Rhinolophus ferrumequinum: one gene and its partners. The protein of the gene in region 1 interacts with the protein of each later gene in a pairwise test. Links are inferred from orthologs where the notes say so. Each region holds a gene or a part of one and is shown in the gene's direction. Other genes may lie near its edges. The genes, in order: REL, POLR2L, PRKAA2 and GADD45G.

The links.
Region 2: the proteins of REL (region 1) and POLR2L interact in binary tests that used the Homo sapiens proteins (3 or more experiments, as listed by UniProt). The two-hybrid records come from large-scale screens. The link is inferred for Rhinolophus ferrumequinum from reciprocal best matches to the Homo sapiens genes REL and POLR2L.
Region 3: the proteins of REL (region 1) and PRKAA2 interact in binary tests that used the Homo sapiens proteins (3 or more experiments, as listed by UniProt). The link is inferred for Rhinolophus ferrumequinum from reciprocal best matches to the Homo sapiens genes REL and PRKAA2.
Region 4: the proteins of REL (region 1) and GADD45G interact in binary tests that used the Homo sapiens proteins (3 or more experiments, as listed by UniProt). The two-hybrid records come from large-scale screens. The link is inferred for Rhinolophus ferrumequinum from reciprocal best matches to the Homo sapiens genes REL and GADD45G.

Annotation. Positions count from the first base shown.
Region 1 is NC_046296.1:28,081,315-28,088,182, reverse strand, and holds the start of REL (proto-oncogene c-Rel), read left to right. Parts: upstream 1-3,865; 5' UTR 3,866-4,188; coding exon 4,189-4,198; intron 4,199-6,868. UniProt on the Homo sapiens protein: Proto-oncogene that may play a role in differentiation and lymphopoiesis.
Region 2 is NC_046294.1:511,303-517,663, reverse strand, and holds POLR2L (DNA-directed RNA polymerases I, II, and III subunit RPABC5), read left to right. Parts: upstream 1-4,344; 5' UTR 4,345-4,491; coding exon 4,492-4,586; intron 4,587-5,510; coding exon 5,511-5,619; 3' UTR 5,620-5,838; downstream 5,839-6,361. UniProt on the Homo sapiens protein: DNA-dependent RNA polymerase catalyzes the transcription of DNA into RNA using the four ribonucleoside triphosphates as substrates.
Region 3 is NC_046292.1:40,695,602-40,702,528, forward strand, and holds the start of PRKAA2 (5'-AMP-activated protein kinase catalytic subunit alpha-2), read left to right. Parts: upstream 1-3,924; 5' UTR 3,925-4,010; coding exon 4,011-4,104; intron 4,105-4,274; exon of another isoform or gene 4,275-4,410; intron 4,411-4,441; exon of another isoform or gene 4,442-4,577; intron 4,578-6,927. UniProt on the Homo sapiens protein: Catalytic subunit of AMP-activated protein kinase (AMPK), an energy sensor protein kinase that plays a key role in regulating cellular energy metabolism.
Region 4 is NC_046295.1:4,408,510-4,414,592, reverse strand, and holds GADD45G (growth arrest and DNA damage-inducible protein GADD45 gamma), read left to right. Parts: upstream 1-3,850; 5' UTR 3,851-3,935; coding exon 3,936-4,183; intron 4,184-4,411; coding exon 4,412-4,513; intron 4,514-4,642; coding exon 4,643-4,856; intron 4,857-4,939; coding exon 4,940-5,050; 3' UTR 5,051-5,553; downstream 5,554-6,083. UniProt on the Homo sapiens protein: Involved in the regulation of growth and apoptosis. Mediates activation of stress-responsive MTK1/MEKK4 MAPKKK.

The DNA of each region.
Region 1 (6,868 bases):
AGTTAAGGTGAAAGATGATGAAGATTTGAACAAGGACAGTGGCAATCAAGATGGAAAAGAAATGGATTCATATTTGATTATAAAATCAGTAGGACTTGGTGGCTGGATGTTGTGGGGTTGGTGGGAGTTGGTGAGAGAGAGAGTCAACGATGGCTCCCGATTTTCTAACCTGTATATCAGTGGATGGTGGCATAAGGAATATGGGAGTAAGAGTAAACTTGGAAAGAGATGTTGAGTAGGTTGAGTTTGGGATGCCTATGAGTCTCCCCTTGGAGGTGTTCAGCAGACAATTAGATATGTAGGTCTAAAGCCCAGGGAAAGATTCAGGCTGGATATATGGTCCTGGGACCATGGGTAAAATCATGAGAATGGATGAGATTATCCAACGAGTGTGTGTGGGTTGAGAGGTATTATGCATCTCTCCCTCATCCCATGTTTCCCCGAAAATAAGACCTAACCAGAAAATAAGCCCTAGCATGATTTTTCAGGATGACATCCGCTGAACATAAGCCCTAATGCATCTCTTGGAGCAAAAATTAATATAAGACTCGGTCTTATTTTCGGGGAAACACAGCATTCCCATTCAGACTTCAATTTTCCTAGTTCTTTGTCTTCTTTTTCATACTATTACGCATCGATAACCCTTGGGTTAAAAACCATATAAGAAATACTGTTTACTGGTCTGAATTACATTTATGACCACAAATTTCAAATGGACATTCAGTACAGCCAGATATACCTTATAAAATTCCACTCTCAAGACCACATTTTCAGCTTCTCCTCTTCCTCGAATCTCCTATTCCCTCGTTGCCTTTCACTCTCGGTTGAACTTGACCTCATACTTCACTATAAAAAAAAAAAAGGCAGTTTGACTACCTCATTTTCATACCATCAAGTACCATGTTCTCTGCATCTGCTCTGTCTTCCTTCTTGTTACCACAGAAGTGTCTCCATTCCAATCTACTGCCAACCCTATACCTGTGCTCTAGATTTCATCCTTTCTTCCTTACTCATCAACCCCTTCCTTTCTTTTATCATCCATTTCTCCTTCACTACTGAGTCAGTCTCACTGTTATACAAATATGCCTTAATATCACCCTCTACAAACAAAATAAACTTCAGTTCCAGAGCTTGCTAGTGCTGATAATCATTTTCTTCTCTTCTCCAGAGCACACAGCTAAATTACGTTTCTCAAATTATATTTCTCAGTCCCCTTGGGGAGGCCACATGGAAAGTAGACTGCAACCAGAAGTAACGTATTTCACTTTCAGGCCTGGCCCATAAAAATCTCTCATTCTCTCTTTCCTTTTCTAACGTGACTTTGAAGGCCACATTTTGGTGCTACAAGATTGAAGTCACCTCGGTCCCTGGGTTACTCCTGGAAGAGAAAGTCACTCAACTCACACTGGACTGTGACTCAAATGATAAACTTTAATTATGTTAACTGGTTGAGACTGTAGTTGTCAGTGATAGCCCTTAGCCTAAAATAACGCCACATCGCCTTCCAGCTAATGCCCCATTTCTATTTCCTTTAACACTCTTTGAAGAGTTGTCTATACTCATCGTTTCCATCATTCTCTTCTCAACTTCCTCCCATTCAGCCCTCATCCCCACCATTCCACTGACATGGCTCTTATCAAGGTCATTAACGACCTTCATCTTGCCAAAGCCAAGGTCATTTCTTTTTTTCCTTTTTTTAATTTTTATTGGGGAATATTGGGGAACTGTGTTTTTCTAGGACCCATCAGCTCCAAGTCATGCTGCTGTTTTCACTCTAGTTGTGGAGGGCACAGCTCACTGGCCCATGTGGGAACTGAACCAGTGACTTGAAGTTATGAGCACTGCGCTCTAACCCAGAGCCAACCTACCGCCCCAAGGTCATTTCTTTATTGTCATCTTTTTCATTCTCTCAGCATCATTTAACACAGCTGACTTCCATTCCTTTTGAACCTTCTGGGACACTAGTCTATTGGTTTTTCTACTTCACTGGCAGCTCTTTCTTTTCTACTAGTTCTCGACTTGGAGGGTCAAGGGCTCTTTTTAATTTTTTCTCTATCTGCACCATTTCTTTAGGTAGTACTATCGTAAATGAAATGCTACTGACTCCCCAATCTTTATTTCTAGCCCTGATTCCCCTTAGCTTGAGTTCTGCATATTCAACTGTCTACTTCAGGATGTCTAATAAGCATCTGTAATGTAAGGTATCCAAAACACAACTCCTGATTTTCCTTCTCAAATGTTTTTCTTCACCAGCCTTCCTTTTTACCTGGTTGCTCAGACCAAAAATGTGAGTTTCCCTGATTCCTTTTCTCCCCTCCCATCTACCAAGGCCATCTGGTTCTGTTACCAAAATATCTTACTAAATCTAACCTCGTTTCACCATCTCCTCCGCAAAAACACTAGTTGAAACCACTTTTACTTCTCAGACTACTGCAACAACCTCTTAACTGCTTTGCCTTCATTCACCCTTGCCCCTAGTTAGTGTATACTAACAGTTTAACACATCACTCAGAGTAAACATCTCAAAATGTAATGTCAATCACACACTTAAAACTCTTCATAGCTTTCTGTGTGCAACTGGAATAAAATCTATCCTCCTTACCAAGTGAGATTTCTTTTTTGTCTTTGCAATCTCTTCAGTGCATCACAGTATGGTTTAATGCTTATTCAATCCTTTCATTCTTTTCTACTTTTCTGCATTTTGTGGAAAGGATATTTTGGGGTTCGTAGGAAATTTTTGTGTTTTTTTCTTTCCTCTCCCCACTGTGTCCTCCAACTTCAGCACTTGTATAGCAGGCTCACGTTCCCCACTCTTCGTCATTTCATACTGCAAGGGGTAGTGGGAAGAGCGTGGAGCTTTGGAGTGAGACTCTGGGTTTAAACTGTGCTTTTCTTTTTACCAGTATTCTGAAGTATGAACTTAATTTCTCTGAAGTACTACTTCTCTGAACCACGATTACCTCATCTATAAAATGAGGGTACTATGTCATAAATGAGGTAAATCAACTGATACATACAAGGTTCTTAGCACATAAAGGAAACACAGTAATACTCGATTCCTTTAACATACTAAACAGTTCGTTCCTTCCCCCGCCTCATGGGTATTTCTATCAAATCCCACGATAGAGTCGACCCCACTAATCTTGAGCAGTGCATTAAATGAGACAACGAACTCGCAGTGCGGACCTTAGGAGTTTAAAAAGTTAGTAGGTAAAATCCGTAAAGTTAACTGAGTCCTCGCAATTTAGATGTAAAGAGGGAAAATCAGACTGCGGGGGTCCCCGTATGCAAATGCATGCATTACACACGAATACTGGCGACAGCCACTTCCGCACTTCCCCTCTAGGGCACTCCGCGACAGTAGCGCTGCATCGCCCGCCTGTGCGGAGGCGGAGATTTGCATGTGCGAAATAGGGAAGAGGGGGAACCACCCATCGAAAATCCCGGGCCTTAGTACCGCCCCGCCCCCCTGCTCCAGCCAGGGAGGGCTGGCCCCACTTCGCCGGCCGGCCCGCCCCAAGTACTCCCCGGCAGCCGGCCCTCTCGACGTCACCGCACCCTCCTACCCGCTTCTGAACTTTAAACCACGCGCCGAAGAACAGCCCGGAGGAGGGGGATTTCTAAGGAGCTGGCGGCTTTCGCACGCTCGGGGCCGTCACTTCTCGGCTCCCCGTGTTCCCTGCATACCCGAAGATCCCGCGCCCCAGCTCCCCCGACGGGGTCCCGAGCCCACTGCTGCACCCGGGGTGGTAGCGGGGGCGGGGTACGGGCGGGGCGGAGCGCGGGCCGTCGTGTGCGGTTGCGCGCTAGCCGCCCCGCCCCTCCGCCCTCCCGCCCCCAGAGAGGGCGGCGGTGAGGAGCCTACGTCAGCTGCGGGAAATCCCCCTCCCGCTAAGGCGCGGGTCTCTCTGGCCCTGAGGTGCTGGGCTCTCGCTGCGCTCCGCCCCCCTACCCTTGGCTCCAGCACCCTGGACGGGCGAGGCCGGGGACAGCAGGGGCGCGAGAATTAAGGGGGTGGGAAGGTGTGAGCCGCAAACCAAAGCAGGGCGGAAAGGAGGAGGAGGCCCCGACGGTGGTCAGTGGGACAGGGGGTCCCGCCGGCAGAGGACTGACTGGCGGGCTGACTGACAGCGGCGGCCTCCGGTCCAGAGGCTCGGAGTGGAGCGGAGCGGCGCGGTGAACGGAGTCATGGCTTCGGGTGAGTGTCCTGGGCGCCACCGGCGGTGCCCGAGCTGGGGGGAACCTGGGGCTCGTCCCGGGGCTTTGCCGCTCAGTTTTGATTGTGGCGCGTTCTCTCTAAAATTGCCCGGTCTGGCAAATTGTCAACCTTGTAACAAGTAAGGTGGTTCGGGGGTTTGCCTGCGAAATCAAAGTCACGCTCTGTAATTTGATGCCATTATAGTAGCCGGAACCTTAGAAATTCCCAACGACTCTGTTTTAGGACTAGGGAAGTAATGAGAATCTAAATGGAGGACTAGGAGTTCGCGTATTTAAAAATTGGTTTACATCGAAATGGTGGTTTTATGTTTTACAACAGGAATGAGGAACCTTCAGACCTCTGAAAAGCTCTGAGTTTTTTAGTTTAATTTCATCAAGTACCAAGAGGTGATCGCTGTTGTGCTGACAGTTGTACAAAACGTGTGGCTTTAAAAGTCACCGGTGGTGTTTTAACAGGTCTTAAGTGGAAATGTTGCTTCAACACGGTGGATAGATTTTACTGCACAGTGCGCACGTTCTAACTTACGGAGCAGAAGTCATGTTGCTTTGGTTTTGTTTTTTTCCTCCTTTGTTGGAAAGAAGGGGGAAAGAGGAATTTTAGAATACTTGTGCTTCAAAATATGGGTAGGGAGTAAAAGAATTTCCTATCACTTGTGTAAATGTTTATTTTCAGTTAATAAATGCGTGAATCTCTTGCTTTGAGGGGAAACGAATTTACCAAGAAAGAGTTCAGAGGAAAGGGGGTGAGTCTCATACCGGTCCGGAATATACAACTATGGTTTAGGTCAGCCTGTGACCGAAGGGAAGTAAGTGAAGAATCCTTTACAGGATTCTGGCCGGGTTCCGAGGGCGCTTTCCCGGCAGAGGGAGCAGCGTGAGCGGTCACGGAGGCTTACAAGTTACTCCTGAACGCTGTACTGACAAGTTGAAGAGGGGGGGCCTTGTTTATGCTTGACCCGCATCCTCCCAACTCCCTGGTACAGTGACCCTCAGCAGAAGGTTGATGTCTAGCAGAGAAGAGGAAGTAGAAAGCTTAGAGGACTTTTTAAAGGGGTTGAACAGAAAAATGTCATAGCTACTGCTGTAGGCTAAAAAGGAAATTGGGGTAGTTCACACGACATTTGATTTCAGTTTGTCTGTGGTTTTCATGTGAGCATACAAGTGGAGTTTAAAATATTTCAACTTTCTCTTAACCCACTTCAGTGACCCCCAAACTTTCAGATAATTCAAAGGCCGTTTAGATTAAAACTGCAAAGATGACTTAAAATATTTGATTAATTTATTGGTTATCAGAAAGAAATTTTGTATAAAAATAGTAAAGAATAGCGAGTATTATAAATAAAAGAAAAAGGTCAGCCTGCTGGCAATTTAAGCGAACTTTGTTAATACATGGCATGAATGTAATACTCCCAATTCTTTCAAAAGAGAGAAAAGAAGTAACCATGTTTACATAGGTATTGTAAGACCTACATCATTTAAAACTGTGATACAATTGAAAATTATTTAATGACACTATATTTTTGTGATGTTATGAGGACCCTCAATTGAACGGGGGGGGGGGAATAAGGAATGGAAAGTTGTAATCATAACATGTTATTTAAATTATAATTCAATTGTTTGAAAACTGCTAAGCAAATTTTTAAAAAGAAGTCGGGGTGTACTTTCCTTAATTAATTTTAAAGACCTTAGAGGAAGAGTGACTAAATTATCAATTCCTATCCTGTTTTGAAACAGTAATTTAACCAAAAGAATCACAGGGGAAAAAAGTGCTAAATTAGTTTATCATTATCTAGTTTAGATTCTGTTTGTAGTAAGGTAGTATTAAAACTCAAAAAGTATTTTTATTGATTACAAAGATTTTAAGACCATTTCTACATTTCTCCCCGGATGTCATATGTAAATATGTGTGTGTAGTTGAATATATGATCTGCATAACGTAAAAAGTAACATCATAATCTCATAAGCAAATTTATAAGAACCATGAGTAACTGGTACTTTGATACATATTTCTAAATTTTGTTCAGGTAAGCTGTCAGATTATTCAGGATTTCCCAGTTTAGGTTCTATTAAGCTGTCTTTATTGCTTTTTTAAAATTACACCTTGGTTTCAGTCTTTTGACATGATGAATTAAAATAGGCATTGTGAAGAAAAATGTACCCAGACCCATCTAGGGTATGCATAGCATAGTTAGGCAATCATTACTCTTGTACATTTTAAGTAAAATTAGCTCTTTTATATCAGAATTTAAAGCTTCTCATTGTTCCAGTAGAAAGTGTAAAATGTTCTTGTGTGCCCCTGGCTCTATTTACTAATAAATAGTACTGTCTTTGGTAAAATACGTTTTAACATTTAGATAATTTTTATTCCTAGTTTTCTTTAGTATAGTTCTGCTTTGTCACGGAGTAGGAAGTACACTAAGAAATTGTTTTTGTAAACCGCACACTACTTACCAACTCTTTGTCTGCTGTATGAATTTCAAGAGAACTGTTTCCCTTGAGTAAGGGGGGAAAATATGAATGTAAGTATGTTGCAACTTCAATCTTTAATGATAGAGCTGGAAGCTGGAATTGATAACTAAAGCAAATGACTTCTTTTTTTTTTAATGTAGAAGACTACACATGTAAACATAAAGGCTGTTTTGGAAATGCA
Region 2 (6,361 bases), on another chromosome or scaffold:
GCTGCACACTGCCCACCTGTCCACTCATGCCTGGGGTGGACGGGAGTCCACCGTATGGGTCAGTCCCAGCTCGTCCCTGCAAGCAACCTGACACCCACCCCCAACTTCAGTTAGGCGGTATGAACGGCACCCACCCCAGTGGGGAGGGCATGTGCCTGGGTCCAGGCCCTGGGACCCCATCCCCACCCCTCCACAACTGCTGTGCCTGGGGATGAAGTGTCTGTTGAAGGGTTTTAGGCCCCATGAACTATCAAAGGAAATGGGGGACACACCCGTCCCACTTTCTTTGATGAACCCCCCTCCCCAGGGCTAAGGGGCCCAAAGCCCACAGCAACATTCCGGAAGCTAAAAACCATGCAGCACACACCCACCCACGCAGGCCTGAGGCTGGGTCTGCATATCCCCTCAGCCCCAGATCCCGGCATCCCTCCCCGGCAGGCCCTTACGGCTGGCTCCACCAGCACCTACAACCCTCCTGGGCAGGACAAGACCAGGCTGGCTCCTCCCCATGAAGCCTCCATGCCGCACTTTGGCCCTCCTTTGAGGGCAGAGACTGACAGGTCTGTGTCCCCAGTACAGCTCACACAGCAGGCAACAGCGACAGGGCTGAGTGACAGCCCCAAGACAAATACCACAGCCTGCCAGCCCGGGGCTGGGTCTTTGGGGTTGTGTGAGCCACAGGCCATGGGCACCTACCTGACCACACCAAGGCCCTCTCCAAAAAGGACCTGCCCAAATGCTGAAACAGAGCGTGTGGCGTTGGACTTAGAGGCTGGGGTGGACAAATGGGCGGTTGCCAGTGGCCCACCCTGACCCCAGCAATGGAGCAGCAGCAGGGGTCTGGCCTGAGCACACACCCCAGCAGGGGCAGCTCAGGGTGGAGCATAGATCGCAGATCGGAGCCGCCCACCCCGGCCCCCTGGCGGAGCTGGCTCTGAGGCAGCTTTGAGGAGCCCAGGAGGGCCTGGCCAACACAAACAGGCCTGTGGTGTGGGCCTTCCTGCCACTGCTTCAGCCCCGCCGGGCCCCAGTGCCCACCCAGGTCTGGGGGAGGAGAACACAGACACCCAGGCTGGGCAGGCTGGCATCCCTTCACACTCAGAGCCCAGGCAGGGTCATCTCCCCAGCCCAACCGGGAGCGTCCGGCTGGGAGACACCCGCTCCACGGGAGGGATCCCCGTGGAAGAAGCCACCAAGGGCCCCCTCTCTCCTCCTGGGCCCACCTAGGCCAACCCAAGCTCAGGCCCTCCCTCCCCTGCCCACCCCCCCCCCCCCCCCGTCCCGGCTCCTCCCCCCACCTCAGGTATTTCTCTGCTGAAGGCCATGTAGAGGTAAAGGCCAAGGGGACACAATTAGGATTGGGGGCTGGGGGATACCTTCCCAGCCACCACAGGCCCTGGGAGCACGCTACCTCACATGGCCAGTGTGTGCCTGCCCCACCTCGACAGACACCCCCACCCCGCCCTATGCCACCAGACGGACACCGCAGAGCAGTGCCCTCCCTCAGGAAGCCCACATCAGCCCCAGGTGTGTTCAGAGGCTCATTAGGTTAGAGTCAGTTCGGGCTCAGCACGCCTGCAAACATCACCACTAAGGACTCCCCAGCCCCAAGGGCCGAGAGGGTTAGCATGGGTGCAGCAGGTAGGTGACCCGTCTGACCCTGGGGAGGCATCCGAGCATGTATGTTCAAGGATCCCATGCCACCCTGTACACCCCATGTAAGCACACATGTACCCAAAGCAAGCGGCCAGGGCCTGAGTCCGGAACCCCACACCTGCACAGATAGATCCGGACCCTCCAGCTTGGCAGCTTCTCGTTCCATCCACGCTTTACAGATGGGGAAACTGAGGCTGTGATCCAGGACCAGGGGTTGGGGCCTGTGGCCGGCCTGTTTCCAGGACAACCTTCAGAGCCGGAAGCTCAGCAGCTAAAACTTCAGTCGCTGATTTCCCCTTGTCCCTGGCCTGCCCTCAAGTGACCCTTTCTGGCAGGAAATGTGGCTCACGGGTTCCAAACCACATGTGAGCACAGCCCTCCCTCCTCGTGCTTCCCATCACTGGAGGCAGGACACTCATTCTCGGAAAACCTGTGCCTCACTCTCCGGCCCTCCCCAGAGGCCTGGGCCACATCTGTGCTGACACTCCACACCGAGGGGAGAAGCCAGGGCCCCCACCTACCCCAGCAGGCACGCAGAGCCCCTCCTCCACCAGTGCCCTGGGCCCCCACAGCTCCCTCCTGCCCCTGGCCCCCCCGGCCCTCACCTCAACGTGCAACCCCAACACACACAGACACACATGCAGGGACACAGCCTGTCCGGGCCATGGTTGGGGGGTAGAGCTGACCTCTGAGGTTCCCCTGGGGTCCTCTGGTCCAGCCTGGGCAGGGCTGAGCCAGGCAGAGTTGAGCAGGCAGAACTAAGTGCCCCAAGGGGCCTCCACCCACGCACACGTGTGCTGGGGCAGCGCACACAGGCTGGGCCGGGGCAGCCACTCTGCTCCCCATGGCCTCTCCTGGGAAATCAGGGAGCTGGAGGGAGGAGCTTGGGAAGAGGAGCCAGCGGCCCCCAAATCTACACACAGCTCTCAGAATTCCAGGAATGTCAACTTGGCTCTGGACCGGATCAGGGAGGGAGGCTCGCTGCTCCCCTTACTCTCTCTGCGTAAACAACTGCTCAGGGCAGGAGCTCCAGTGGGACAGGCCCTGGGCCCCTCCTCCAGGAAGCCTTCTGCCCCCACCCACTCCAGCTCCTGAAGGTCCACCCAGCTGACATCCCGATGCCCTCCCGGTCTCCCTCACCTCCACAGCCTCGGGCAGCCTCTGCAGCTGAGCCTGGGTCTGACCCCAGGCCACTGTGACTCAAGGCCCCTATCCTGCCCCTCCAGGCCAGGGACAGGATGTGCGTCCAGTCAGTGTGTATGTGGGGGGGTGTCAGGGAAGGGAAGTGGCTTTGGCTCGTGGCTCTGCACGTGGCAGGGTGGGGGATGGCAAAGAGCACTGGGGAGGCTGTCCAGGGCCCCGGAGAAAGTGGAGGCACAAACTCCAGGCGGGCACCAGTGCCGGCAGCTCCACCCAGGACCCAGGACCCTCCATCTCCCTGCCCCCCAACTAAGGCCTGAGGGGGCAGTTAGCTGACTCCTGGGACCCAACCAGAGATCCAGCGAACCTGCCCCAGAGGCTGCACACACATTAAGTCACAGGTGCCACTTTGCAACACATCCACCCCCTAGAGCCCAAAGCTCACCACCCACACACAGGGAGCCCTCGGGCTTCTCACTGCACACTGCCCGCCCTGCCCAGCCCCCATCTTGGGGCTCAGCCCACCCCATTTCCCGACACACAGCCTCCCTTCCCCTCAATCCTCCGTGGCTCCTGCCCCACCACCTACTCTGGCCCTAGCGCACACCTGTCTGGGACTACCCTGCAGGTACCGACTCCAGACCTCTGCCCAAGGGTTCCTTTTGCCAGGGTCTGCCCTGCTCCTTCACACGCACTCAGGCTCACGCCTGGTGAAATCCTGTACTTTTCAAGGTTCAGCTCAACAGGCGCCTCTTCCACGACGCTCTCCCTGACCACACTCCGGTCCTCAGATCGCGGGGACCCAGCAGAGCTTGGACTGGGGCGGCTGCAGACCCTTCCCGCCCCCCATCCCCTTCCCCGGGAAGAAAGGAGGAGGGACGCGGACCAAAGCAGATCGATGCGGCGCTGTCTGAGCTCACCACCCGGCCGATCGCTCCTAGCGTGCCCTCCCACCGTCGGAACTACAGGTAACTGTTACCTGGCCGGGACCGATATAGCACGGGCGAGCGGGCCTGGAGACGCCCCGAGGGCACTCCCGAACTCAGCCGCAGAGATTCCCGGGCATCCGCGGGCAAGGATTCCGGGCGACAGACCCCTTTCCCGGCCCGTCCAGGAGAGGCAGCGGGAAGACCCGCCCGTGGCCGCCGGCCAGCCTCTCTCTGCCCCCGCTGCGGGGTCGCCGCGCCCGGGCCCCGCCACTTGTTGCTGCGGCTCGACTCGGGGCTCCGCGCTCCGGGCTGGAACTCCGCTCCCGCTCGCTCGTGCCGGGGCGGGTGTCTGATCCCGGCTCTGGCGCGGCGGGCGGCGGGACCCCGACCAGCGGACGCTGTACCTGCGCGCGCAATCCACCCGCCGCGTAGCTGTCAGTCATGCGGACACGAGAAACGCGAACTGCGCCGCCGAGCCCTTACGGCCTCGCTCGGCCACCATAGGCCGGGATGTACCAAAGGGGCGCAGAGGGGACGCCGCCTGCTCCTGCCGCAGCCACGAGGGTTCCGAGACCCCCGATACGCGCGAGGAAGATCGTCGCGACAGGAAGCGGATGCCGACGGCGCGGGGGCTGGGGAGGTGGACTGGGGGCGGCTGGAGACGGGTCCCGTCTCCCCCGCACCATGGACGCGCCCGGGGCGGGGTCGGCTCTCGGGCAGAAGCGCCGCCGGAACCGAAGAGCGCGGTCGTTGTCCCACTGCCGCCATGATCATCCCCGTGCGCTGCTTCACCTGCGGCAAGATCGTCGGCAACAAGTGGGAGGCCTACCTGGGGCTGCTGCAGGCCGAGTACACCGAGGGGTGAGGCGCCGGGCCCGGCGGGGGAGGGCCGCCAGCGCGGTGGGAAGCGTCCCTGGGCCGCCCTGCGAGACGGGCGGGGAGGGCCGGGGGTAACGGGGTCCCGGCCTGCGGGGCGGGCGGTGCCACGCGCATCCGATTACAGGTGACCCTGGAGGGGCTTTCAGTTCCAGAGTCTCTTCCAGCCCTGCTCTCCAGGGGGCTTCTCGGTGTCCTTGTGGCCGGCCGCGGTGCCCCTCCACTGCGGTTAAGCCGTCACCCTGCTCCCTGCCCACCTGCTATTAGATCCACCGCATGTCCCACAAGCCCACTTGTCTTTTAGGCTCAGGGCAGCTTCCTGGCCACATAGCTGTCATTTTGAGGCTGTGGCAGGTCCCTTTTCTGTGCTTGTCCCTTAGCACTGCAGTTACCACCACGGCTAGCTGAGTCTGCTCCCCAGTAGAGTCTCACCCTTGGCCACTGTGTGGACAGCCCATGTCCTGTCACACTTGAACCCCTGGGACCCGGGACGTGCCAACATGCCATCGACTCTCAGGGCAGGTGTGGGGGTGATGATGGGCTGTTGGCACCAGACCCTGCAAAGGCTGCTGGGGTGACCAGAGTGCGTGAGTGGCTGGTAGCCTGCCCACGACCCTCCGTGCAGCACCATGGGCAGGGACCTTCCAGCCTGGCCTCCCCATTGCCAAGCTGCCATCTCTGCACACTGGGGCCAATGGTGTGGGAATTTTCTGGAGGCCTCGAGGGTGACTAATCTTGGTCCCAGGGAATTGGGGACTCTAATTTGCGTCAGAAATGGCTCCCTGGAGAGATGCCTCCCTTCCCAATGTGGAAGCAGGGCTGAGGAAAGATCCCACAGCAGCTGAGTGAGGCTTCCATCTGCCTGGGCTTTTGGGGACCGACAGATCACAGCCTGTCTTCTGCCTGCAGGGATGCTCTGGACGCGCTGGGCCTGAAGCGCTACTGCTGTCGCCGCATGCTGCTGGCCCACGTGGACCTCATAGAGAAGCTGCTCAACTATGTACCCCTGGAGAAGTGAGTGAGCACCCAGCATGCTGCTGGCCCACGTGGACTTGATAGAGAAGCTGCTCAACTATGTACCCCTGCAGAAGCCCGGGAGCACCCAGCAGTCTGTCCTGCCCAGAGCCCCTCCCACTGAAGCGTGGGTAGCCAGGAGCAATGTCTGCTCACAGCTGTGTGGGCGTTGGTCTCCTGCTCTGGCAGGAGCCATCCAGTAAAGGTCTTTGCAGAACCACAAGAAGGTCCTGACAGTTGGTCTGGCTTTGTGCGACTCCCTGCCACTGTGTACCTGTGTCCTGCCTCATGCCTGAGGCCACTTACTGCCCAGGAAAAGGGATAGCCATCCCCATGGCAACTGCTCAGCCTGGGGTGTCTCCCTCTGGAGGGGGTGCTCTCAGGCCACCAAGAGCACTAGGGCACTGGCATCTCCACCCATGTGTTCTGTGTACTCTAGGTCAGCACAGCACAGAGGTCCCCACATCCTCTCTTCCCAGGATCTAAAGAACCAGATTTTCTGGGCCCTGAATAGAATGCCTGCTGTGGTCATGGCTGCCCATCCTGAGCGTCCTGCTGCCAGAAGCTTCCAGGCTCCACCCAAGCCCAGTAGACCCCTCGGCCAAGTTCCTGCAGGAGGCGGGGCAGCACTCAGGCTCCCCACCCAGCCCGGAGACCCTACAGTAGCTCTGCGGGTTGTCAGGGCTGGCTGAGCTCCCAGTGCCGTGGGCATCAGCATTCAACCCTGCGGGCCAGCCCGGAGGCCT
Region 3 (6,927 bases), on another chromosome or scaffold:
TTGGCTTGTATTACATATAAGATATCATCAACACACTTCATTAATCACTGAGTGTCTAGGTTTTTTTTTATGGTAGACTGGAGAACAATAACAGAAACACCTTATCATGAATCTATAAGGTCCAGTATGTTCTGGCTGATGCCTAACTCCAACCACACTAGTGACTCCTACCTACCCCAAGATGGAAAATTATGCTTTGTATTTAACAGTTATATGCATAAAATGAACTTATTAAGTTTGACTTCTTTTTAAAGTGCTCTTCCCTGTGTTCTTGTTCCTTAATTCCATAGGTTAATAACCATCTTCTTTATTTCAATTCAACAAATATTTCTGGAATGATGTACCAAGTTCCGTTGGGCCCTAGAAACAGCAGATGGAGTATGTTGTTTATATATACGTATATATATACATATATATAAAATATTAATTTAGACATGAAATATATATATATATATATAAAATAACAGAATCGATAGATGCTGTATTAGCGATATGAAAAAAGTGCTATGGGAATCCTGAAGCGAAATATGCAGTCAAAAAAATCAATCACTTTAGAGGAAGGACAGAATTATCTTTCTATTCTCTCTATAAAAAATGTTACAAAATATGAAGAGGCAATCAAAGAATATACAACCAAAAAATATAGAAAATAAGCATTATAAAGATATGTGGGATAGTTAATTTATATAGATTTTTTTTTTCTGAATTCGGGGATGTTTGTGTTGTCAGTTTAAAAATTATTTGTAGATAGTTTATTTCATTTCAAAGAAATATTTGCTTTCATGACCAATTTTGCATTTTTTTTCCCCATAAAGAGGACCCCCACATTGTATAAACATTAGATGTCACACAGCCCGAATCTACTCAGGTGCCTATAATTTATTTGTAAGGCACTGTTCTGGGAACTGAGGATAACAGCAGTGAACAAAATAGAGAAAAACACTCTCGTGAAGCTTACATTCTACTTGGGAGAGACAGACAAAACAAAAAAAACAGAGTAAACAAGTAAATAGTATGTTAGACAGAGCTGAGGAAGTTAAGGGGATGGAGAGTTCAGGGCAGGGAGTATGAGTGAGGTGAAACTGCAATAAATAGGACTGGTCAGAGCCGGTAGGCCTCACGCAGAAGGTGACCCTGAGAAGACTTGAAGGAACTGGTTGTTGATAATACCAGTGGAATGTAGTTTATTAGATTAGTGGTACTCCATTATTCTCCTATCCAGGCCTTGCTTTAGAATATTTGAAGTAAAGTAACCCCAAAGACCCAGTAGTAGGAGGGTAAAGCAGTAATAGTTGGAATAGGGTTAAGAAGTAAATAGCTGCCTGGTCCACTGAATCTCAGAGATTGGTACTAAATAACACATGGACACGAAAACATCATTGGAAAATAATAAAGTGGGGAATATTGTGCTTACCAGAACATCTTTAGGGAGTGAATCCTCAAGGGGCATGACTGTTAAGGAGATTTGGTCTGATTAACTGTCATACTGTATTGCTCTGTAGGGAGAGGCAAGGATGGAACCATATCTAAAATGTTCAGGGCACTAGAAGGCTGAGTGCTGCCAGACGTTGTCCTTTTCCACCCTTCTCACCCACTTAACATTCAACCTTTTCTCTAAAAGAGCTAAAGGTCAGGAAAAGAGCTAAAAATATAAATTTAAAGGGCATATTATTGGCCTGTCCTAGAAATAAAAAACAAAAAAATCAAAAAAACAAGAATGGGACTACAATTGTGAAGATTTTAAACTTACACGGAGCACCACGTTTTTATAGGCAGCTGTGGTATAGTAGAGGTAAAGGGTAGGTCAAAACTAGATGTGAGGTCTGACTCTGCCACTTAGCTGATTAGCCTTGGACAAATCAGAAAGGGAAAAACTAAGTTTTATTATCTATAAAATGGGGATAATCATAAGTTTCTTTTATGACAATTAAATGAGATACTTGTGTTTAAATGAACTTTTTAATCAACAAAGTATCATACATTTGTTTGACATAAAAATAAAGGTAGTTCATTGTAGCTAGGTAAGGATCATTGTTACGACATGTATAATAACGTAAGTTGTAATTATCAACAAATAGTTAAGACAGTGCAAAATGCCTTAAAATATCTATTTATAGTCTGTCTTCATGTAGCTTCAAGAAAACAATCTAATAGACTTTTCAACATCTTCTAACGGAATGTTAGCACAAGAGACAGACATACATCTTATATCGCAAAAACTGAAGAGGTATTTTGTTTTCTCATTCATCTGAATGAACACTGGAGGAGTGACCCTACCAAATGAAAGTTTAGTATCTAAAATAACTGGCTATTTTCTCCAAATTGCCAGCTAGGTAGAGTGATTCTTAATGATACTTCTTGTCAGCAAGAAAGATGATCGCAAGAATGAATAAAAATAGCCTCTGTTCAACAGCTGTGATATCTATAATTTATAAGCTGTGATCATTTCTCATCAGATTGTTTTGGTGTGTAAACAAGAATGATGTATGTGTGCCATTTGTGTATTTATCGTTTCTTAAAAAACCAATTTTTGTTACCTCGCATTCTTTCTGATCAATACGTTTCTCTCTTTACATATAAACAGTGTGGTAAGTGACTTCTTGTTTGAGGAATGTGACTTTGAAACTCTATTGTCATACACAATGTTTAAAATGTTCAACTAATCCTTACACATTATTATCAAGCAGCCAATATTTTTTCAGCACTGTTAAGATAGGCAACATTAAAGAATAGGACAAGAAAGGGAGGTAGGGAGGGAAGGATATATAATCACTTCATTACTAAATTCTTGTCAGTCTAGTTTCCTCTCACCATTTTTCCCCCCACTTCTATCTTTATCACATTTATTCTTTCATTAATTTGTGCATTTAAATTGCCCTTGCTTTCTTTAAAATTAAAGTTTATTGGGGTGACAACTGTTAGTAGAGTTACATAAACTTCAGGTTTACAATTCTATAATACATCATCTATATATCACATTGTGTGTCCACCACCCAGAGTCAGTTCTCTTTCCATCACCATGTACAGGAAATTGCCCTTGCTTTTAACAATTTCTCTTTGCCCCTATGTATTTTACTTTCTATGCTCACTGCATTCAGTTTCCCTTTTCATTTCTTTCACTGTTTCTGCACAGTTCCATCGCAAACTATTCGACGCTATGTATTAATATAAGCATGTGCTAAAACACAATTGAGCAAATATGCGGCTGTGATTTATTGGAGAATGTTGTGCAAATTAGAATTGAGAGCTCGGGAGGAGAGCGTCTCTTCCACCTATAGGAGAAAATAATCGAGAATTATAATATACGTGGCGGACGACTGAATGGAGCACAGATTTGAGTTCTCCATGTGCCGTGACCTGTATCTCAAACACTCAGCCTGAGCGACTTCCTTGAGGCTCCCTGACTGCTCCCGAATCAAGGCCTTTCCCGTCGCCTCCTACCCAACTTCCCTTCGACTCACGTAGTCGTTTCTACATCTCCTCTCTCCCCACTCTTTGGGTCTGTTTGTCTTTTTTAAAATTCTACTTCCAATCTCTTTCCATTCCCTAGGATTCGGCCCAAATCTCACCCTCACATTGTCCCTCCCTTCGGTGTTCCCCATAATGGGCCCCTATAGCCCACTCTCGCCCTCCAGCCTCTCCCCCAGGTAAAGGGGCGCGGTCCCCTGCACCCCGACCTCGCACACCTGTCATCCTCCGACCCCGCGCCCCCCGCTCGGGGACCCCTCCCTCGCTGGGCGCCCGGGTCCAGCCCCCACTGTCGCCGCCTGTCGCGGGGGCCCCGCGCATTCGCCCCCGCGCCCCGCCCGCCGCTCGCGGGCCTTCCCCACCTGGTCCCTGCCCCCCCGCCCGGCGCCCCCGGCCTCCCCGCGCCGCGGCCCCGGCCCTGCCCCCCGCCCCCACCGCGGGCCCGCTGCACTGTGGGTAAGCGGCGGCGGCGGCGGCGGCCGCACTCGGGAGCCCGCGGCGGCGGCGGCGGCGGCGGCGGAGCCCGGCTGCGCGCGCTGAACATGGCTGAGAAGCAGAAGCACGACGGGCGGGTGAAGATCGGCCACTACGTGCTGGGGGACACACTGGGCGTCGGCACCTTCGGCAAAGTGAAGAGTGAGTACGCGCCCGCGGCGCTGCGGCGGGCCGAGCTGCGGGGGCCCCGGAGCCCCGGAGCCCCGGGCCTGGCGGCAGGTGGGGCGGCCCCGGGCCGCGCGGAGCTGGGGGCCCCGGGAGGGCGGGGGGCAGCGCTGGGCTCCGCCTGGCCCCGCAGCGGCGGCTGGAGCCGGGCAGCGGGCGGGGGATCGGCGCCCGGGTTCTGGGGCCGGCGCCCAGCTGCCTGGCGGGTGTCGGGGAGCAAGGCGCTCCTGCCTCCCGGACCTCGGCGCCCTGTCCTCCGAAAGCGGGAGAGTGGGCTGCTCGGTAAGGCGCCCTCGGCTCTGAGACCGTATGGGTAGGGCTGGGGGATGACATCCGTCACTGATGATTTCCAGTTCCCGTGTCGTGCCAGGTGCCCTGTTCGGTGCTTGACGTGTGATTTCATTTAATCCTAACAGCAACTTGCTGAAGCTGTCATCCTCACCTCGAAGGTGAGAAAACGGGGACCCCTAGAGGTTTAGGACAGTGCCCAAGGTCACACAGAAATTGGCAGAACCAGGATGAAGTGCAAAATGTCTTCCAGTTCTGGCCAGGCTGGAGGTCCTTGCCATCCTGATTCTTTCGTGCTCCAAGACTCTGCGTTGGTGCGGCTGACTGTTTAGGGGATGTTTGGGGGCCGAGTGGTGGGTCGGTCTTTCTGCTGGGCGTGTGAACCGCTGGAATGCAGCTGGATTGGGCCGGGTTAATTACAACGGGCAAGTCTGAAGGTTGGTTGGCGTGTGTACAGTGGTTCTAGGAAGGCTTCTGGGATGAGGGGAGAAAAAAGTTTCCTTGGTGTCGGACCCAGTGAGGTGTGGGGCCGAGGAGGCCAGAACCGCTAAAGCGGATTCTGCTAAGGTCTGTTTTGTTGATGATGAGAGACCATTTTGGATGTAGAAAAACAGGCTGCTATCGGAATTTTTCCTCCATGCTAGTTAACTATTAAACTTTCCTTTTTGTTGTTGTTAACAGGAGTCACATGGGATTTAATTAATTTGTCCTCTTTCCAGAACTAGAACCAGCTTATTAAAAATACTTTGTTTGATTGTTGCAAATCCAGAATTATAAGTAGAATGTTGGCTGTTTAATTCTTTTTGCTTTGGATAGACAGTTTGGAGATTTTATTCTGAGACCTCTATTTCCTTTAAAATTCATATTTTCATCTTAAATCTATTCAATAGAAGAAACGTAGTGTTCATTCCTGTTGCCAGAATCAGCTCTTATTTCCTTACACATATCTGATACCCTTTCAGAAATACAGTTTGTTCAGAAAATACCGATTGAGCACCTCCAATGTGCTAGGCACTGCTGTAGAGAATAGGGATCCAGCAAGGAACAAATCCAGATTAAAATCCCTCCTTTGGTGGAGTTCATATTAGTAGGGGAAGACAATAATCACAGTGTATATGTAAAATGCATAGTATGTTTAGTGCTATTGAGAGAAATGAATCAGGGAAGGGAGGCTAGGGAGTTTTGTTTGGTTAGCAATTTTCAATAAGGTGTCAGGCAAGAACTCACAGACAAGGTGGGGTGTGTGTCCAGGCCTTAAAAGGTGGTAAAATTCTTTGAAGTCCCATGAGGGCTGTGAACTTTTGGGTTGTTTTGGAAAGACCTCATAAATAGAGTGGGTAGTGAGCATATGTTTTAAAATGAATATAGGAAGATCTAGGGATTGGATTGATGCCTGAAACATTACTTGTCATTAAACGGTATTGCTGAGGACTGTTGTGTTTCAGCATGATGCAATTACTCCATCAAATGGTGCATTTGCTATCTGGACATGTATGTACACTCTCAAAGTTAGATAACTTATCCTATGTCCTAAATTGTGTTAACATTTTTGTTTGTTTCTTTAAATTCTTCAACTGTAACATGAATATAGACTAAAACACCCATCACATCAATTGGCCCATTGTCAAGGGACAACTTAAATCTCTTTTGTATGTGTTACTCTTGAGCTGCTTCCAGGCACTGGCTTCTTAAAATATAAACAAACAGAAGGTGCTTTGATTTATGAGAAATCCTTTGCCTGGAGGACCCCTGTCCAATGAGCAACCATGCGGAGGGGTGTCCTAACACTATGTTAGAATCTCTCTAAAGTTAGATTGTGGTTTTTCCATCCACGATTCGAATTAGTACAATTGTTTGTTTAATACAAATTATAGAAGTTGCTACAATCTAAAGTTACTCATTTAATTCTTCAAGGGACAAGAAACAAAAGCACATGCATTTTTAAAAAGAACTTTGTTAGGTATATTGTACATATTATAACGTTAACTCATTCCAAGTGTACAATTCATTGATTTTTAGTAACTTGACCAAGTGGTGCAACCTTCATCATAGATCAATTTTCGAACATTTTTATCACCACAGTAGGATCACTTATGCCCATTTTTAGTTAATCCTCTTTCCTACCCTCAGCCCCAGAAAACTACTAATATGTTTTCTGTCGGTATAAATTTGCGTTCTCTGGACATTTCTTATAACTGGGATTATTCAATATGGAGTCTGTCATGTCTAGCTTCTTTAACAATGTTGTTGAGGTGCATGTACGACATAGCATGTGTTAGTAGCTTGTTCCTTTTTATTGCTGAATAATATTCCAGTGTGTGGGAAGGCCACATTCTGTCTACACATTCATTGATGGACATTGTTTTCAGTTTTGGGTTCTTACAAATAATGCCACCACAAACTCTACTTCACATCTAAGTCTCTGTGTGGACATACGCTTTTATGTGTCTTGGAGATATAACTAGGAATAGTTATATCCCAGGTCATATCATAGTTTTATGTTTAGCTTTT
Region 4 (6,083 bases), on another chromosome or scaffold:
TGCTACTGCTTATCGCTATGACACGTGTCACAGTCATTTGTGACTTGGGACTGAGAAAGTACCATGTACATGAATGATTTGCCCTCACCCCCTTAGTTTCAAGGGCCCTTTCACATGCTACGCAACTGCTCACCCAAGAATAACTGTTCCTTCTAGGAAGCCCCCCCCCAATCCGGGGACTGACCATGGAGACCCGGCTCATGCTCTATGGGGATTTCCCGTTTCAGTTTCCTGCTTCCTATCTCAGCTGTGATCTAAAGGCTCCCCATCTACAGACCTCACATTTTGTGGGGTGGGGGCACGGCAGTGCATGGGGGGTGGTGCTGTAGTGTGCCTGTTAAATGCTGGGACACATCTGAGATGACTTTGCAGGTTTTAAATATTAAGTGTGTGTATTGCACAAAGATTTGGTTTCTTTTCTTAGTTAATGTATTATTGTCACCAACTCATTGCTGTTCCCCCCACGCCATCCATGAGTTTTTTGGGAAAAACAAACGCTCTTTTTGAAATCCAAGGAGACCTGTCCTGCCTGAGAAGGGGCTGATGAAGGGGTGGGGGTGAGGGAGTGAGAGCAACTCCCCCGCCATTTGGAAAGGGGCCAACCCAGACTGCTCCCAGCGCCCTGTGCCAGCACAGGAGACCTGTCCTGCAGAATCTGGGACACAAATAATGCTTGCCCTATTTGAGCTTGTAAGAACCTGGTCCCTTTATTTTGCTTTTCAAACTTCAGTTTCTTTTTAAAGATTGCAAATGTAAAGGCCTGCAGGGGACAAGCAGGTCATGAAAATGAACGAAGCCGCAGGAATCCTCATGAGGGTGTGAAGGGGACAGTGGTGAACTGGAGAGCAGTGCCCTTCTGGGGTCCCACTGCCTCCCCTTCACTGACGGTTACTGTGGTGTATCGGGGTGGTGGTGACTGCAGGCATAGTGGGGGCCAAATCTCATTTTCCAAAAGAAACTGGAATTCCAGAGTTTTATGTGAAAGTTGCTGGTTTTGAAAGGTGGCAATGATTTGGACTTTTCCTAAGACACCCCATCAGCCAAAGGACTCTGCCTGCAGGTAGTATGGAGCTCTGAGCAGTCCGTGGCCTGCAGCCTGTGGTGGGGCTGCAGTCACAGGGGAATGAACGGGGCTATTTAAAGACAGCATGAGTGCACTCTCCAAAAGCAAATGATTTGAGAAATTGCAATAGGGGCTATCTCATAAAGCTGACTATTTACTTAAAGCCCATTTCTTTCCATACTCAAATCAACAGACTCTGCCAACATTTCAGTCAGGTAATGAGGGTGACTAAGAAGTGCATTTCCAAGAATGTGTTAATAAAATGGTTATACTGTGAACATTTCCAAAGGCTTTTAAAAACAGAGCATCTCTAAGGGTGTCTCTTTAATAAAGTCACCATCACCTGCACTGTTAAGGGAATGTTTAGGGGTGCAGTCATGGGGAGCTTGGGGTGACATCACAGCCGTCTAGGACCTGGGGCTCCAGCAGGCTAGACACTGGCTGAATGCAGTTTGGGAGCATAATGGCATCGCAGCCGGATAAGTGAGCCACTTGCTATTGTCAGCTGTGTCTTCTATTGCAGGGCAGGGCTGGAAGGCGTCTGAAGGTCACCCGGAATGGGGTGCAGCCTCACCCACGGCCTGCCTGTAGTGTGATGGGAACTGGGCTGTCCCAGACCCTGCAGCTTCTGCATTTGTCTAAACTGCGGGGTGGGGTTGGGGGTGGGGTCTGGTGGAGGGCCAACATTGCCTCTGGATAAAATGTTTCTTTCCTTCCTAATTGAGATGAGGTCTTTGGGGCCATTCAGACTGACTTCATAAACCCATGTGAAGTCATATCCTATGTCAGAAAGGTGGTTTTCCTGAAATGGAATACCTTAAAAATCTGAGCAAAGTAGAAAAGCCCCAGGAGGTTGTCAATCAGGCCTCTTCCTCAGGGCTGGCTTAGTACCAAGCGGAAATGCTGTCCTCCTCCCCACTCTGGCCTGTCCAGTGGCCTACTCTGTCTGGGAGCAGGGGGCCGAGGCCTGCTGTGAAGGCAGATTTCTAGTGTTATAAATGGGGCGGGGCTAAGATGTCAAATAAGTCTTATTTGCAATATTTCCTGGGGACCCAGAATAAATACATTTTAAGAAATGTTTAATTCTTTAAAAAGAACAATACTTAAGTCTCAATCACTTAAAACTAAACAGATTTTATCCAATCAAGGCACCATCATTTTATATATCATCAAGAAAGAAAGGAAACAATAGCAAATAAACTATGCCACCTGGCTCCCGCGATAAGACACCTTGGGTTTCAGGAATGTTAGGTAAGCAAACACCCGCAACTAGGAATCAAGGAGGTGGCCTTGATTTTGCAGCTGTCTTCTGCCAGCAAACCACTGGGGGGCACCAGCCGCCAGCTCAGTCGGTTATTTTTCTTCATTATCTTCTGTCTTGACTCAAGCCTGGGCTTCCAGGAATCCCCCCGCCCGCCCACTGTCCTGCCCAGTCTCCAAGTCCTCGACTAGAAAAGTGAGGTCAATGAAGTGCATCCCAGTGCGTATTTTAGTGTAGCGCAGAGAGATGCAGATACCAAAAGGGGGCGAACCATCTGAAAGTGCCCGCTTGTAGGTCCAAAATGGTCACATCACGGCAATTTCTACTAAACCCTCTCAAGGGCTCTTCCAGTTTTACTATTCTATTACTGGAAAACAACATTTATATATACATATTTAAATAACACAAAAATTCCAAAATAGCATAAGAAATATGGGCTCTTCCTCCATGATTCGCGCCCACCTTCTCCCCATGTGGATTTTGCAGCCCTTACTCTGACTTCCATCAATGGTAGCTTGGATGGGGCTCAGCGGATCCTGTCAGGGCCACCCCGAGACTGGAGGTCAACCCGCCAGAGGCCACTGGAAATTGGGGGGTGAGGGTGTGGGTGGGGAAGAGGGGTGGTCAGGATCTTTCTACCCGGCCTGTAGATGGCGCCCCAAGCTCTTGGGGACTGGAGCCTCGAGGTCTCGGCGGAGCGCACCTGGCTGCCTGGATAGTATAGCAGCCTGGTGTTTTTTTCATCTGGCTTGCCTGCCAGGACTTGGTGGGGCCGAATTACACGTAAATGGGCCGCGGGGTGCAGAGGGACGCGCACCGAGGGGCGCAGAAGCAGCACACGACCCCGTCCCCCAAGGGCCGGGCAGCCCGGAGACCCCCACGCGCGGCGCCGCCCTGCCCATCCCACCCGGCGGCAGGTGGGCAGTGTCGCTATGAAGAGAAAGACTCGATTGTTTTTTCTGCAAACAGCCACACGCCAGACCTCTGCTATTGTGCGCCCTCCATAGAAATGCAAACGAGCCGCGTGCGCCGGCCCCAATCTGCTCGCGCGCCCGGCGCCCCGCAGTGCTCTGCTGCCGGCGGGGAGCTTGGCTCCGACCCTCCAGCGCTGTCGGATCGGGGCTTTGAGCGTGCACCGCGGCTTTGCCGGCGCGCTCGGGGGCATAAGTGTCAGCTGGAAGGGGCTGCGCCCAGACCTTTTGCAAGCTTAAAGCCAGTGCTGCGAGGTTTTACTTTAAGTTCCGGTTTCAAAACAACAGTCTCTTGAAGTCCAAATTAAAAGTAAAGACAAAAATAGAAAAGAAACAGCAAAAATAAAATGAATGCAAAATAAATTTTTTACGTTCCCCAAAGGTGCATTTCACAAATTGTAGCGACCTATTAGCAAGTAAGGTCGTTTGTTTGTTTGTTTTAATAACTTCTTCCTTTTAAGGACTTTTAAAGAACAACAAAAAAAGGAGATGAAATTTGCAGGTTCCAGTCTGCCTAGTAACACCCCGACAAAAGCGGCAGATTTGAGGCATTGTCATCCCCCGCAGCCCTCCCCACGTGGCCTTCTGGCACGAGTCCCTGGCCGCCGCCTCATTTGCATCAGAAAGCCGGCGCTGGCCAATGGGCTCGCAGTTTCGCGCCAGCTGGCGGCGCTTCGGCCCTGGTCTATATAAGGGCGCGCGGCCGTACCTCGGCGCACTAGCTGGCGGTGGCGCGCCGGTACCAGCTGCAGGCTTTCTCAGCCGTTCATCGTCTCCTGTTGGTCCGCTTCGTCTGCTCCTCTTGTGGATAACTTGCTGCTTGCCTTACCGCACGATGACTTTGGAAGAAGTCCGCTGCCTGGACACGGTTCCTGAAAGCACAGCCAGGTGGGTGGGCACCGGGTGCCGGACGTATCGGGGCGCGGGGAACCTCGCTCTGCCCTTGCCACGGTTGGTCGGGCGAGAGCCTTAAGAGCCCGCCGGGGTGGGACCCCGCTGGCTAGAGAGTCGGGCGGGGGTATGTCAACAGGGTTGGGGCGCCGGGGGTGCGTCCTAGTAGCTGGGGACCACGCCGCGCTCTGGGTAGTCCTACTCACGGCGCTGGTTTGTCCGCAGGATGCAGGGCGCCGGGAAAGCACTGCACGAGCTGCTGTTGTCCGCGCAGCGCCAGGGCTGTCTCACCGCCGGCGTCTACGAGTCCGCCAAAGTCCTGAACGTGTGAGTATAAACGCGGCTGGGATGAGGCGACCTGGGGCTGGGGGAGCGGCAGGAAGACCTGGGAAGCAGCATCGGGGGCACCCCCTGGTCAGTGGTGCCCTGACCTCATCACCCCCCTTCCGCGCGCAGGGACCCCGACAACGTGACCTTCTGCGTGCTGGCAGCGGACGAGGAGGACGAGGGCGACATCGCGCTGCAGATCCACTTCACGCTGATCCAGGCGTTCTGCTGCGAGAACGACATCGACATCGTGCGTGTGGGCGATGTGCAGCGGCTGGCGGCCATCGTGGGCGCCGGCGACGAGGCGGGCGCACCGGGAGACCTGCACTGCATCCTCATTTCGGTGAGTGTACTCCTCCCCGTGTCGCCCCCGCCCGGGCCAGCGGCCTGTCGCCAGTGAGGCTGACCTCTGCGCTCTCCCCGCAGAACCCCAATGAGGACGCGTGGAAGGACCCCGCTTTGGAGAAGCTCAGCCTGTTTTGCGAGGAAAGCCGCAGTGTCAACGACTGGGTTCCCAGTATTCCTCTCCCCGAGTGACAGCCCTGTGGGGGGGTCCTTGGTCTGATCGACGTGGAGACGCCCCGGGGCGCCTAGCGCGGGGCTGGCTCTGTGGATGCGCTCTCGGAGGGCGCCGGAGTTTGGCGTGGAGACTGGCAGGCGGGGTCGCGTGGAGAGAGCGGCGAAGAGGCGCGGCTCCCTTCGACCAGGGGGCCTGGCGGCGGCAGGGGCAGGCTGGCCCCGAGCCGAGGACTCTACAAGTGTGGGGAGCGGCTGCTCGCCCTGGAAGGCCGGAGGCGGGACGTTGGCCACGGGGCCGGGAAGGACGGACTGGCTGGGCAGGCGTGACTCAGCAGCCTGAACTGTGGGCAGGAAGCAGAGGAAAGGCGAGGCCAGGCGGCCTGGACTTATACAATTACCGGAGCTCTGACGGACCTAGCAGTCTGCACTGCTGTTTCAAAACGGATCCTGGCAGTGCTTCGTTCTCTAAAGGATTATGCTGCTGCAGTTATGAATTTTGCAATAAACTTAACTGAAACGAACTTATTTTCTTTATTGAGGGTTGGGGGTCCTTTCTGAGGGGGTGGTGGTCAGCAGGGTTGCAGATGAGTGCTGCAACTCATGGAACTCGGTGGCACCTGTTCCATCCTCCTGTCTGGGCTGAATTACAGGCTCTTGTTTTGAATTACTGGGCACTGGAAGTGGGGGAGGAGGTGCTGGCAGGGAGTTTCGCAGGACTTGAGACCTGCTCCTATTTTTCTCCTTTTAGGAAGATTTTTAAACTAGCAAGACAGGAGCAGAGTTGAGATAAGACATCAGTGCAGCAGCTGAAGGCTGGCCATCCAACCTGATAACAGCAGCTTCCCCCTCCCTTCCCCCTCCTCTCCCGGCCCCCTCCCTTTCGACAGCTGCTTATCGGAACAGCTTGCAGGAGGCAGGCAGCCTTCCTGCACAATGAGCATTGCCTTGTTCAGGCGCTGCCTTTTGTGGTCCCTGAGGATGGCAGCAGACTGCTCTCAGGAACATTCTCCTTTTAAAGGAATGGCGCTTACAGCAATGTCACCAAAGTGTT